Linked DNA regions of Oreochromis niloticus. The protein of the gene in region 1 interacts with the protein of each later gene in a biochemical or structural test. Links are inferred from orthologs where the notes say so. Each region holds a gene or a part of one and is shown in the gene's direction. Other genes may lie near its edges.

The links.
Region 2: of the proteins of sirt1 (region 1) and srebf1, one has a biochemical effect on the other in vitro, tested with the Homo sapiens proteins (2 studies listed by BioGRID, with this or other methods). The link is inferred for Oreochromis niloticus from reciprocal best matches to the Homo sapiens genes SIRT1 and SREBF1.
Region 3: the proteins of sirt1 (region 1) and rps19bp1 form a complex in vitro, tested with the Homo sapiens proteins (2 studies listed by BioGRID and IntAct). The link is inferred for Oreochromis niloticus from reciprocal best matches to the Homo sapiens genes SIRT1 and RPS19BP1.

Annotation. Positions count from the first base shown.
Region 1 is NC_031978.2:25,308,655-25,312,410, forward strand, and holds the start of sirt1 (NAD-dependent protein deacetylase sirtuin-1), read left to right. Parts: upstream 1-1,526; 5' UTR 1,527-1,568; coding exon 1,569-1,974; intron 1,975-2,398; coding exon 2,399-2,521; intron 2,522-2,685; coding exon 2,686-2,921; intron 2,922-3,023; coding exon 3,024-3,176; intron 3,177-3,756. Other genes in the region: dnajc12 (dnaJ homolog subfamily C member 12), read right to left, coding at 163-241, 794-871. UniProt on the Homo sapiens protein: NAD-dependent protein deacetylase that links transcriptional regulation directly to intracellular energetics and participates in the coordination of several separated cellular functions such as cell cycle, response to DNA damage, metabolism, apoptosis and autophagy.
Region 2 is NC_031969.2:18,056,023-18,059,778, reverse strand, and holds the start of srebf1 (sterol regulatory element-binding protein 1), read left to right. Parts: upstream 1-1,305; 5' UTR 1,306-1,569; coding exon 1,570-1,675; intron 1,676-3,756.
Region 3 is NC_031971.2:9,196,556-9,200,311, reverse strand, and holds the start of rps19bp1 (active regulator of SIRT1), read left to right. Parts: upstream 1-1,288; 5' UTR 1,289-1,424; coding exon 1,425-1,479; intron 1,480-2,949; coding exon 2,950-3,123; intron 3,124-3,399; coding exon 3,400-3,497; intron 3,498-3,756. UniProt on the Homo sapiens protein: Part of the small subunit (SSU) processome, first precursor of the small eukaryotic ribosomal subunit.

The DNA of each region.
Region 1 (3,756 bases):
AGTTAAGATGTCAGAAACAGACATTAGCTATGTAAGAAAAGTGTGAATTAAGAGGCATTGAAGCGGTAATAACACACTTCGTATTACTTTATTGCTTCGGTCTATGAAAAAAAGGTTATATGAAATATGACTCACACACAGTTAGTGGTGTGTGTGCATTACCTGCTCTTGGGCTGTCGAGGTGTTTGTCTGGATGACATGCCAAGGCTCGAATCTTGTATTCATTGAGAATCTGTTCGGTCTGCAGGACAACAAAACAAAACAAACCTCATAGTCTGATGTGATCTAATCAATCAGATCGATGTTATCTTGACCGTGTTATTGACTATTTGAGACCCTCAGCTCTGCCAGTCTATGACTGTTGCTGATTGTTGAGTAATATATTGAGTGAAAATTGGCGATCACAAGACCGCAGTGGATATGTGTGTTGATGTTGCTAATCAAAGATTTATTTTAGTAAGATACATTTAAAAAAATCACACTGATTCCATATCTAATCTAGTTATACACAAATGAATTTAAATGCTGGCTGGCAGACACTGGATGACGCACGACTAGTTTCACATCAACAGGTCTCAGTTGGTTCAGCCTAATCTGAGGCACACATACATTTTTATTTTTACATTTTTTGGCTCAGCAGTGTACAGGCTATTGATCGTTGATGTCTCATGTAGTATTTTATGTTTTTAACCCCCATTTCTCCCTAAATAATTACTGACTTATAGATCGAGACTATATCCGTTCAGCAACCCAGCAAATAGTCTGAGCCTTAAACCCACTGACCAGAACTTACCGATGACAGTTCATCACATCCCAGTAACCCGTAGTAATCCTCCAAATCCTCAGGTTTACAGCTCAAAACAGCCTCCATAAAAATCTGTCGGAGAAGCACGTATGGCTTCTTTTAACGGACCACAAATGCTGCTGAACGTGATCACAGCTGATCAGTTAAAGGGTTGCCAAAGGGTTCCCCCTCTCACTCACTCACTCACTATAACCAACTAGCTAACTACTAACTGTTAGCAAAGTTTGTCTTAGTATGGTTTTGTCAGCTAGCGTTAGATTTCAGGGATTATTAAACTGTTGAAATTTTCAAGGGAGATCTCTCCTGAGTTGTTGGGAGAGCCCAGCTGCCCCTTTTCACCGTATGACGTATGATGCATTCAAGGGTCTTGATAATGGTCCTGCTTACTAGAAAATTCGTTTATTCATCTGGCTAAGAAACAAAGGCAATGGTAGCTTTAGGAAATTAGAAATGTTATATTTTTATGTAGTAAAACTAAATTTCTTTCACATACTTAAGGCTTGTGTGGCAACGAAAAAAGAAAATGACAGATTTGTAACTGGGGCATTAATTAAGTTTACAACGACTACACGTCAATATAAAATCGTTTATATTTACGCGAAACACATCACCGAAAGGCTTGAAAGATTCGTGAGGGCTAACCTATGATTAGAAATCATCCGACAGCACTTGAAGGCAACAATATTTGTTATGGTATAATGTCAGCGACGTAGAGGGGGGCGTTTCGCTCGGGACTACTGGTGGAGAACGAGTCACGTGTGCTATGCAAATGAGCCAGCTGTCCGAGAGGAAGGCTCCTGCTCAGCGGCTCTGCGGGCTGAAGATGGCGGACGGAGAGAACAGTCTGAAAACGGCCTTTTCGGGCGCCTCCGATACGGGGGAACCTCACGCTAAGATTTCGAAAATCAGTCCAGGGACTAACTATGGACTGAAAGCCGTCGAAGCGGACCAGTTCTCGTGCGTCTCCGCGGCAACTGAGAGCTGGGAGGCGGCGTTGAATTGTGCGCAGCCCGCGGAGAAGGAAGCGAAGCCGGTGATGGCGGTAGAACAGGCCCCGGCAGCGCTAGGCGGAGACAACAATGGACTGGAAGTATTGCTCTCCGAGACTCACAAGCCAGTGGGGAAACTTGACGACACCGCTGTCTTTGGCGGAACCGAGGACAGTCCAGGTATAAAAAAGAGAAAAAAAAACTTTGAGTATTTGAGTGACTTTCAGTGAGAAAAATTCTCTTTGCCAACTTAACCGGTGAGCTAACTGGCTCCATGTGAAACAGTTAACTTAGCTAATGTTAAATACAGTAATGCTGTGTGGGTGTCGAGAACTCCTGTACTCCTAAAAACGGGAACTTTTCCACTAAATTATATTTCGCTAACTCTCTATCAGTGATCCTGTCAGCACAAGTTTGTCCATTTAACTTTTTCATAACCACGCAAAACTTTGAGAGCAATTTGGCGTTTGTTAGCCGGTTGAAAGTTCACTTTGAGAGGCTGTTTTCACCGATTTACTTTTGTAACGGGTCATAGCAGTTATTAAAGAGAGTCCCGACTTGTATCTAGTCATATTTAGTTAAATTTCTCCATGTCTGTACTTAGATTTTCTTGGGCACGATGATCTTCCCTCCAACGGTTTGGCTGTCACTCCAGAGCACATCACTGAAGACGATGACAGGTCCTCACATGCAAGCTCCAGCGACTGGACTCCTCAACCGCAAATAGGTAACTAACATCATTAATAAACTACAGTATCTTAGATTACGCCACTTATGATATGTATTTAGTGTTTATCTATATATTTAAACCACATAATAATTGTTTGCATTGCACAAGTATGTGTGTTTTGGAAATCCAGCCATACTGAGATGTTATGTTCTTGCTCGCAGGTTCCTACAGTTTCATCCAGCAGCACATTAGAGAGACAGATCCAAGGGCCATCCTGAGGGATTTGCTGCCTGAGACTGTACTCCCACCAGATTTAGATGACATGACATTGTGGCAGATCATCATCAACATCTCAGAGCCTCCAAAAAGAAAGAAGCGGAAAGATATTAATACCTTAGAAGATGTGGTCAGGCTACTACATGAAAGTAAAAGGATCCTAGTGCTGACTGGTGCTGGGGTATGCATTTTTTACTTTATCATGTAGCTCTACTGTGTAAATTCGATTTTTAGTATTAGTGTTCATTGCATCTCTTTATTATTTTTATTTTATTTGTTGTAGGTTTCAGTTTCATGTGGAATACCAGACTTCCGCTCCAGAGATGGAATTTATGCACGGCTTGCTGTAGATTTTCCAGATCTTCCAGATCCTCAAGCTATGTTTGACATTGAGTACTTCAGACGGGACCCTAGACCGTTTTTTAAGTTTGCTAAGGTTGGTGTTACACAAACAATAGAATAACAATTTGAATGCTCCCTAACAAAGAATTAATAATCTTAATCCAAACCATAAATCTCTTCATGTAGACCACTGCAAGGTCTACATGACTAGAGGATTATGCACTTTCATTCTGTGAAAGGGTGTTGACATTTAGAAAATATAATAAAGGGAAACTACTTAAATGTAAGCCGCTTCTGAGTTCCTGTTAAATTTTGTAATGTTGTTTAATACGGTGCCCCACACCCCCATGTTTACACTGACTTTTAAATGGAGAATCAGAGCCTGTTTTTTAAGTTAACTTAAACATAACATAATGTTCAGTTAAATTTGACCCATTTTGACATTTGGCAACAGTAAAGAAAAAAAAAACATATGTCTTTTAGCTTGAAATTGTTTAATTTTCCGAAAGTAACTTAAAATTTTATCACAAGAACTGTTTGTGTTCCCACCACATTTGACCAGGCCCCTGCAGAGACGGGAAATTTAAAAGATCGTGGGGAATTCTCCAAACAGTAAAATAGTAAAAGAACATAGGAGTGATCATATAAGATGCACAAAAAAACAGAGGCTATAC
Region 2 (3,756 bases), on another chromosome or scaffold:
TGCTGCCATTACTAATGGTCAGATTTGTATTTGACCTAATGCACGTATGTAACTGCCCAATAAAACACTAGCAGTGTGTGACCTCTACCTCATAACTGTTTGTGGTTATTTTACACTTAGGGGATCTGTGACTAGTCTCTCTTTTCTCATGCACATGCTGATGCAACCCAGGCTCAATCTTGTACTGTATTGGTCATTCATTGTGAAATGAGCCTTTCACCTTCTCGCATGTGTTTGTTTATGGATATTTGCACAACATAGATCCTTAAAAGAATCATTTTTTCCTTCCTTTACCTGAGGACCAAGACTAGACAACTTTACAAACTCCAGCAAACAAATGGACAAGACTTATTGTTACACACTTGACCACCAACCATGCTGGACTTTATATAATCTTACCCAACTTTACTGACAACTTACCAGTGCTACTCTAGGTCACTGACCTATTTTCCTACAATACCGTTGTGGGGTTCTACTTTTGTGTTACTATAACAGTGCGTTACACATAGACATTGTGAAACACCCACATTGCCTGTTTTTACGTTACTAATTATTATAGGAGAGAGAGAAAAAAATGTAATGTAAACCACCATTACGAAGAGTTGCAGGAACTGTTTTTGTTAAAATACATGTGCTCATTTTTTTATGTCCTTCTGGCTACATGTAGTTGTGCAGTTTATTTTCCTCCTGCTGTTCCTGCTTCCATCATTCCAGGAGCGAAACACATGATGTAATCGCTAGACCCATAGATGCAACGTCAGATCACCCCACTCTGATTCTGAGCTTCTCATTGGACGGTTTTACTGGTTCTACAGGAGGAGCCGCTAATTCGAGTCAAACAAGCTTGGCTGTCGCTAAGCGCACGCCCCACACGACTATGATTGGCTATTGGTGGCAAGCCCACAATAAACATGTCCATGCTGTATACAAAGAGAAAAAAAAATATTTATTTATAATAAACATTATAAAAGATATTCAGAACTGTATTAAGCTGCTCTGGAATCAGAACTTAACTCGTTTATGCTGTAGTTAGCTATTTTTTCATACCCATCAAATGTAACCATATAAATATTTTCTAGCCACGGCATCAGTTCTTCGATTACTGCAATTATTTGTTGTTTTTTGTACATTATCGGATTTTTGTGTGTAAATTGTGTTAGATCGTGGCCGTATACTCCACATGCCCTCACTCATTTACTCAAACAATCAAAACAAGCCTGAGAAACAGGGACGTGGGAATCTAGTTCAAACAAGGGTGATTGGCTGGCGCAACTGTCAATCATCATCGGTTGGATGGGTTTCTCCGGCTACCGCTGTAAGCACGTTAGTAGTGAATGAGCGTCGGTGTTTGGCTTGGTTTGACAAGTTTCCCAGGATGATGATGGGGCTAGTAGCGAGCAGTTAGTTGACACAAAAGTTACAAAAATAAGAAAAGTTGCAGCTCGCGTTGCGTGTGTGACGAAAGGACAGGGATCTTGGTCCTTTTGTCAAATGTAAGGACTCAGAAGTTTCCGATTTCTCCGACAGTCAGTCAAGTCTACACTGGAAAGCCCAGGCACGACAGTAAAGATGAACAGCCTGTCTTTTGACGATCATTCGTTGGATAATCTGGATCCAACACTGTCGCTTAACGACCCCAGTGATATTGACACGGCCCTCCTAAGCGACATTGATGGTAAGAAAATATAATGGCTGCTGCTGGCTTAAAACAGTTGTGTTTGCTAAAACCGGTAACACCGTACGTGTTATCATTCCTTTTCGTATCAATTCTTTAAGTGTTCTGCATGTAATAACCACACTAACAACATCACTTACAACGACATTCGATACAAAGACACCTTTAAAAAAATAAAAAAGCTTTTAAAAGCTGAGAGCTAGCTTTCATTATCCACTGTTAGCTACATGCTAACTATCGGTGAGCAGTTAGCCGGAGGTGATATTTGGGATGTTTTGTTAGTAATTTATAACGATGATTCTTGCAATATCAGAAGTCTTCTGTGTGTCTTACTGTGCAATAGAAAAATAGAAGCGCATTTCATGAGGCGAATATGTGAAGCTAACGTACAGCTAGCTTCGTGTGCGCCCCGCCCCCAGCGTGCTCCATAGACCGGGGTTACTGTCGTTCATTCCTCTTTTTTGGGTTCACGGAGCCTCACTTGACCGATTTGACAAATATAATGCATTTATGTATGCCAAATTAATCGGTTGAAAACTAATGTAACCATGTGCTCTGTGGACGACATTATTTTTTTCTCGCTAATATAGTGCTATCCACGTGCAGTTTTTTGCAAAAACAAACAGCATATATAGTCTGATTCATATATAAAATTCGTGCAACAATTTAAGCCTCCCATCGAAATAACAAGAGTATTTCGAGTAGTGTTAATATTTAGAGTTTTCTGGAAATTTTCCTAAATTGGCCAGTATGTGTTTTATGATAGGGGTCGACGTGTAAATAAGATAACACGCACTGCGTAAACAGTATTCATATCCTGCGGCCGTGCTCTCCATCTCCCTGACTTTGACCGACAGTAACCCTCTGTGACACTGCTCGATGGTAACCTCACACTCATTGCCACAGGCAGCTCTCCCTCTCTTTTCCTGTCTTGGGCTGATCGGCATAGCAAGTCTCCGAGATGCGCTCTGATTGGCCAAGAGCGATCACCTCATACACAACACTGCTTCACAAATCCAGGCTGCTGGTTTTTTTCTTTTTTGCACTGCAGACACAACATGAACTCAGAATCACTTAACAGATAAATTAAACGCGGTGAACTGTGCTCGTAAAATGCTGTAAAAATTATTTCAGTGTCTTATGTCTTTCAAGAGCACACTGCTTCCTAGAATTAAAAAATGATTAGTGAACACGTGCCATCTCACTTTGTTCATGTAAAGTTTTTTGTCAGTTTTAAATCTTTGTAATATAGCAAATCATCTGGAAAAGATACATATTAAAATGTTTTATATCTTTTAGATCATGCTAATGAAAACCTACAAGTCCATATGTGCAGAAGCACAAATTAAGATTAATAATTCATTAATAATATACCACTTGGATTCTTGGACCTACAGCTGCACGCACATGATGAATGGCTTGATAAACTGAAAGTGTGAAATGTACTGTACCCGGTATTTCTTGTTGTGTTTGGCAGTCTTTCTTGTTAAGTGTGTTTTTAAACTGCGTAAGACACCCTATCTCCTGCTTAGGATGTTTTAAAGTAGTTTTCTAGTAATTTATTGAGTGTTAATGGAAAATGTGATGAAACAAAACAAAATTTAGGTTTTAGCAATTTTAAACCGCTGTAGTCATAAGTACATGTGATGTACTACATTTACAGTCATGTGAAAAAGAATGGACTCTATAAAAGCAGAAGTTTTTTTTGGTTTGCAGTACACGGATTTGTGGAAGTCCAAATTCACCTCACAGTCAGAGAAACCTCAAAAAAACACATGAGCTATATAATCTACAGCACATTAAATTTTAACATTAATGACAGTAAAGTTAGAAAGAGACTGAACACAAATATGGGTTCAATTTTAAAAAAACACATGCAGGAGCAAAGTTGCAGCTAAACAAACCAGAACACTTTTAGAGCAATAATTCATAATGCACAACATCACACAGCATATCTGTATAAACACCTAATATCAACTGTTAAGCATAGCGATGGAGTAGTGATGACTTGGGGTTGTTTTTGCGGCCATAGGACTCGGGAACCCTGCATTGATTGAGTCGACCATGAACTCCTCTGTATT
Region 3 (3,756 bases), on another chromosome or scaffold:
GGGGCATGCAGGACTGTAACCATCATGAAGGCTCTAATGCAGACTACTCACTGTCTCTGGGTTCAGGGTCCAGTCCTTTGAACCTGCCTGTGGGCCTGGCATCCACCACCTGGAACTCTTTAGTCTCCAGGTTATCCAGGATATCCTCGTAGGTTTTAATCCACGAGCGGTTCAGAGAGGCTTTGAACTCGGTCGCTGTGGGTCTGACGTACCGGTCACTCACAGGTCGACCCTCCAGCTCCCAGTTCCTGAGCCCCCCATTGAGCATAGAGACCGCACTGTGCCCAAACACCCGGAACATCCACCACACACGGGGCGCCGAGAACGCCCCGAACTCGCTGCCATCGTAGACCACGACGTGCGTGTCGTTTTCTATTCCCAATTTCCCGACGTATTCCGCAAAATAGTCCTCTGACGGCAACATATGGTCCAGAGGAGAGGTTTTATCGCAGCACTGGTCAATGTCAAAGAAAGCTGCTCCCGGCACGTGCTTCTTCTTGAACTCGCTCTTTGCGTTTCTCCGCAGTTTGGGTAAATACCACGAAGTGTCCAAGACCCGCATTTTCCCCTGGACCTTTACAGCCCGAGCCAGCCACTTAGAGGTGACCAGAGCGGTGGCTTGGAGAGCCATGGTGAACTGAAGATGCAGACAGGCTACAAAGTTTACCTAAGTTTCACGGTATTTAACAAAACCGTGCCAAAAGTCGGGAGCGGTCGAGTGAGCAAAGGTACTAATGGTGGGGAGAGAGCGCATGCCAAACCGTCACGCCCCTCGGTTCACCTGACACTGATAAAAGTGAAAGGGGGACACAGTAAAAATGGCATTAGCCTACATTTTAGACAAAGTCTGAAAACCGACACTCATTCGTAAGCCTGCAGCGAGACATGCATATTTTTTTTCAACTCCAACAGAAAACGTAATCTATTAACCCATCTCCGTGGGAAGTGAAAATAACAGAGGACTGGAGCCACTCATTAGCCACCTCATTGGCTAATTCTCTTTACCTAATCTGGAGATTGCTTCGACCTACATTTTAAAATAGCATGACTTATCATTTTACTACACTTTCTCCTTGTCCCACAGTTTCCATAGTGCGCCCCTTCTGTTTTGATACTACTACTACTACTACCACTTGTAGTAGTAGTAGTAGTAGCAGTAGTACTACTACTACTACTACTACTACTAATAATAATAATAATAAAAAATTTAAACTAAAGTAGTTGAAATATAACAACAGGTCCAGCAGCATTATCCAGGTAGGAACTTTGTTCATTTTTACCTCGTCAAGCCGACTGCTTTTAACCGACGCACGCGAGCTTGCCGGATGTTTATGGAACCACATGTTGTTACCCGGTTATAAAAGCAGATTTCTGTGGATGTAGTTTGTGGAAAGTAGAAGAAAACTTTTGTAGCTTGAATCAGGATGTCGGCTTCGTTGATCAGGAGAGGACTGGAGCTGCTGAGCAATGACATTAAAGGTCAGTTTAGCCTCTTCAGCTTGCTGTGCCAGTTGGCTAACAGTATTGGACATTAGCGCTCTCGCTAGTATAATTCTGACCATTCCTTGTGACTGATCAGTGTTTTTACATTGTTATAGTTGGGCTGTAATAGATTGGGTTTATACTGTTGCTTTAAGGTCTAAACCTGATTACTTGAATATTATTTCTGAGGTCTTTAATAAGGAAATCACGTTGTCGTCATTAAATCATAGCAACGTAGAGCCTGAAAAAGACAAGTGTCGTATGTGAATAACCGTACTATGCTTAACCTCAACCTACATAACATTCCTGTGAGGAAAGCAATTCCTTATTGGGTGAGCGGGTACTTGGTTTCAGCACAGCTGATGTCAGGAGGACCCTGAGAAGAACTGATGTACCAAAGCAGCGCCTCGGGACTGGTGCTCAGGGAATGTGCAGATCAGCTGGGTCATGTCCTCACAGACCTCTTCAATACCTCACTGAACCATGCAGTTGGACCATCATGTTTCAAGAATTTTACCATCATACTAGTTCCTAAAAACAGTCCAGTCCCATGTCTTAATGATTATCACCTTTTAGGACTCACAATGTGCATTTCAGTTCCGCATTCAACTCAATCATCGTCCAGCATGAAAGAATGCGGCAAGCGGAGACAATTGATGGGGACTGGTGGACCACAAACAGCACTGTCTTTCACACACAGCTTCTCATCAATAACATTTATTTACTTTATTACACTTTATTATACGTTATGTGTAGGTCCTGTCTTGTTATATCCTGTATGTTACCTAAATGTTGTGCATCTGCACTTTATTGTTGTCTATGTCTACGCATGGGACAGTGTGAAACGTAATTTCAATTCCTTTGTATGGCAAGTACATCTGAAGAAATTGACAAATAAAACTGACTTTGACTTTGACTTTGACATTGTGGTGGAGGTGGACGGCAGCACTATGTTTCTAGCTTTGTAGTTCTCTTGTAATGGGAGCACAGCAATGTCTCAGGTGAAGAGTGTATTTGGAGCAGAGGAGTCAGATTCAGAGTCAGAACAGTTTCTTTCTCATAGCCATCAGGTTTCTAAACTTTAATTCTTTAATACCCCTCCCATCTACACACACACACACACACACACACACACACACACACACACACACACACAGTGGACTGATCTCCCTGCTGCTGTGATACTCCATTACTATCTATAAGTGTAATATACTGGTAATTTAACAATACTGCTGTGTTTTATACAGTATATTTTTTATGCATTTTACATTATTTTTCTATAGCTCTGTTTGTTACTACAATTTTTATTAATGTTGTGAGCCAGTGCAACGCGATCCCATTCAGATATGCTATGATTAGTGTATAGCTTTTGAATGACAATAAGATCGATTCACATTCTTAAAAGAACATGTTTCCTTGTCTGCAGCTTACTTTGGGTTTTGTGCTTGTCTTTTTGTTTCCTGCCAGATGTCACTAAAGTGAAGAAGAAGCAGCAGCAGACCCCCAGCTCAGCCACAGTGATGGAGCTGGTGAGCACCAAGCGGCAGGGAGTTACCAAGCAGGTCAAAAGACTGCAAGGCCGTCTCGGGCCTGGCAAGAGCAAAGCCACTGTTAAAGACAAGAGGATCAAGTCTGCAGTGGGTCAGTCTGCTTGCTGTATTTCAGTCTTCTTCATGCTTAGAATAGAAGACATCTGTGAAAAAGTAAAAACAATTAGTACAGATGCTTTTGTGTTTTTTATGTAAGGACCAGTAGGTGGCAGCATTGGTCTTAAACTAAGTTGTAAAATGTACAGCCTTTCACTGAAAAAGAACTCAAATCTGAATAATTGTTCTGTTTCAGTAATGTAAACTCTTTTACAGTCTAATATTCAGTTGATGGTGCTCTAAATTTCTTGTTCTTTGGTTTGAATTGTAGAGGAGTTCAGGAAGAAGCAGGGGAAGAGCCATTTGAGTGAGAACCTCAAATACTTTATGGAAACTGGCTGTAAAGCAACAGATTCTGACACACTGAAGGTAACCAGGTCATCAGTCCCTCACATTTTACAAGTACTGTCATTATCTGTGACTCTTGTCTATTCTTGGAACACTGGAGTCCAAAATGTTAAGCAGGATTTAAAAGGAAGAGTCATATTTACATAAAAAAGCAGCTTACTCACAGACACAAAAATACTGGTGGCATCCAGTGGTACCGCTCAGCATGCTAGTAGATGCACCGATGGTATCAATTTTAATGTCGGCAAACAATAAACATCCTGTGCAGTAAAGATCTAAA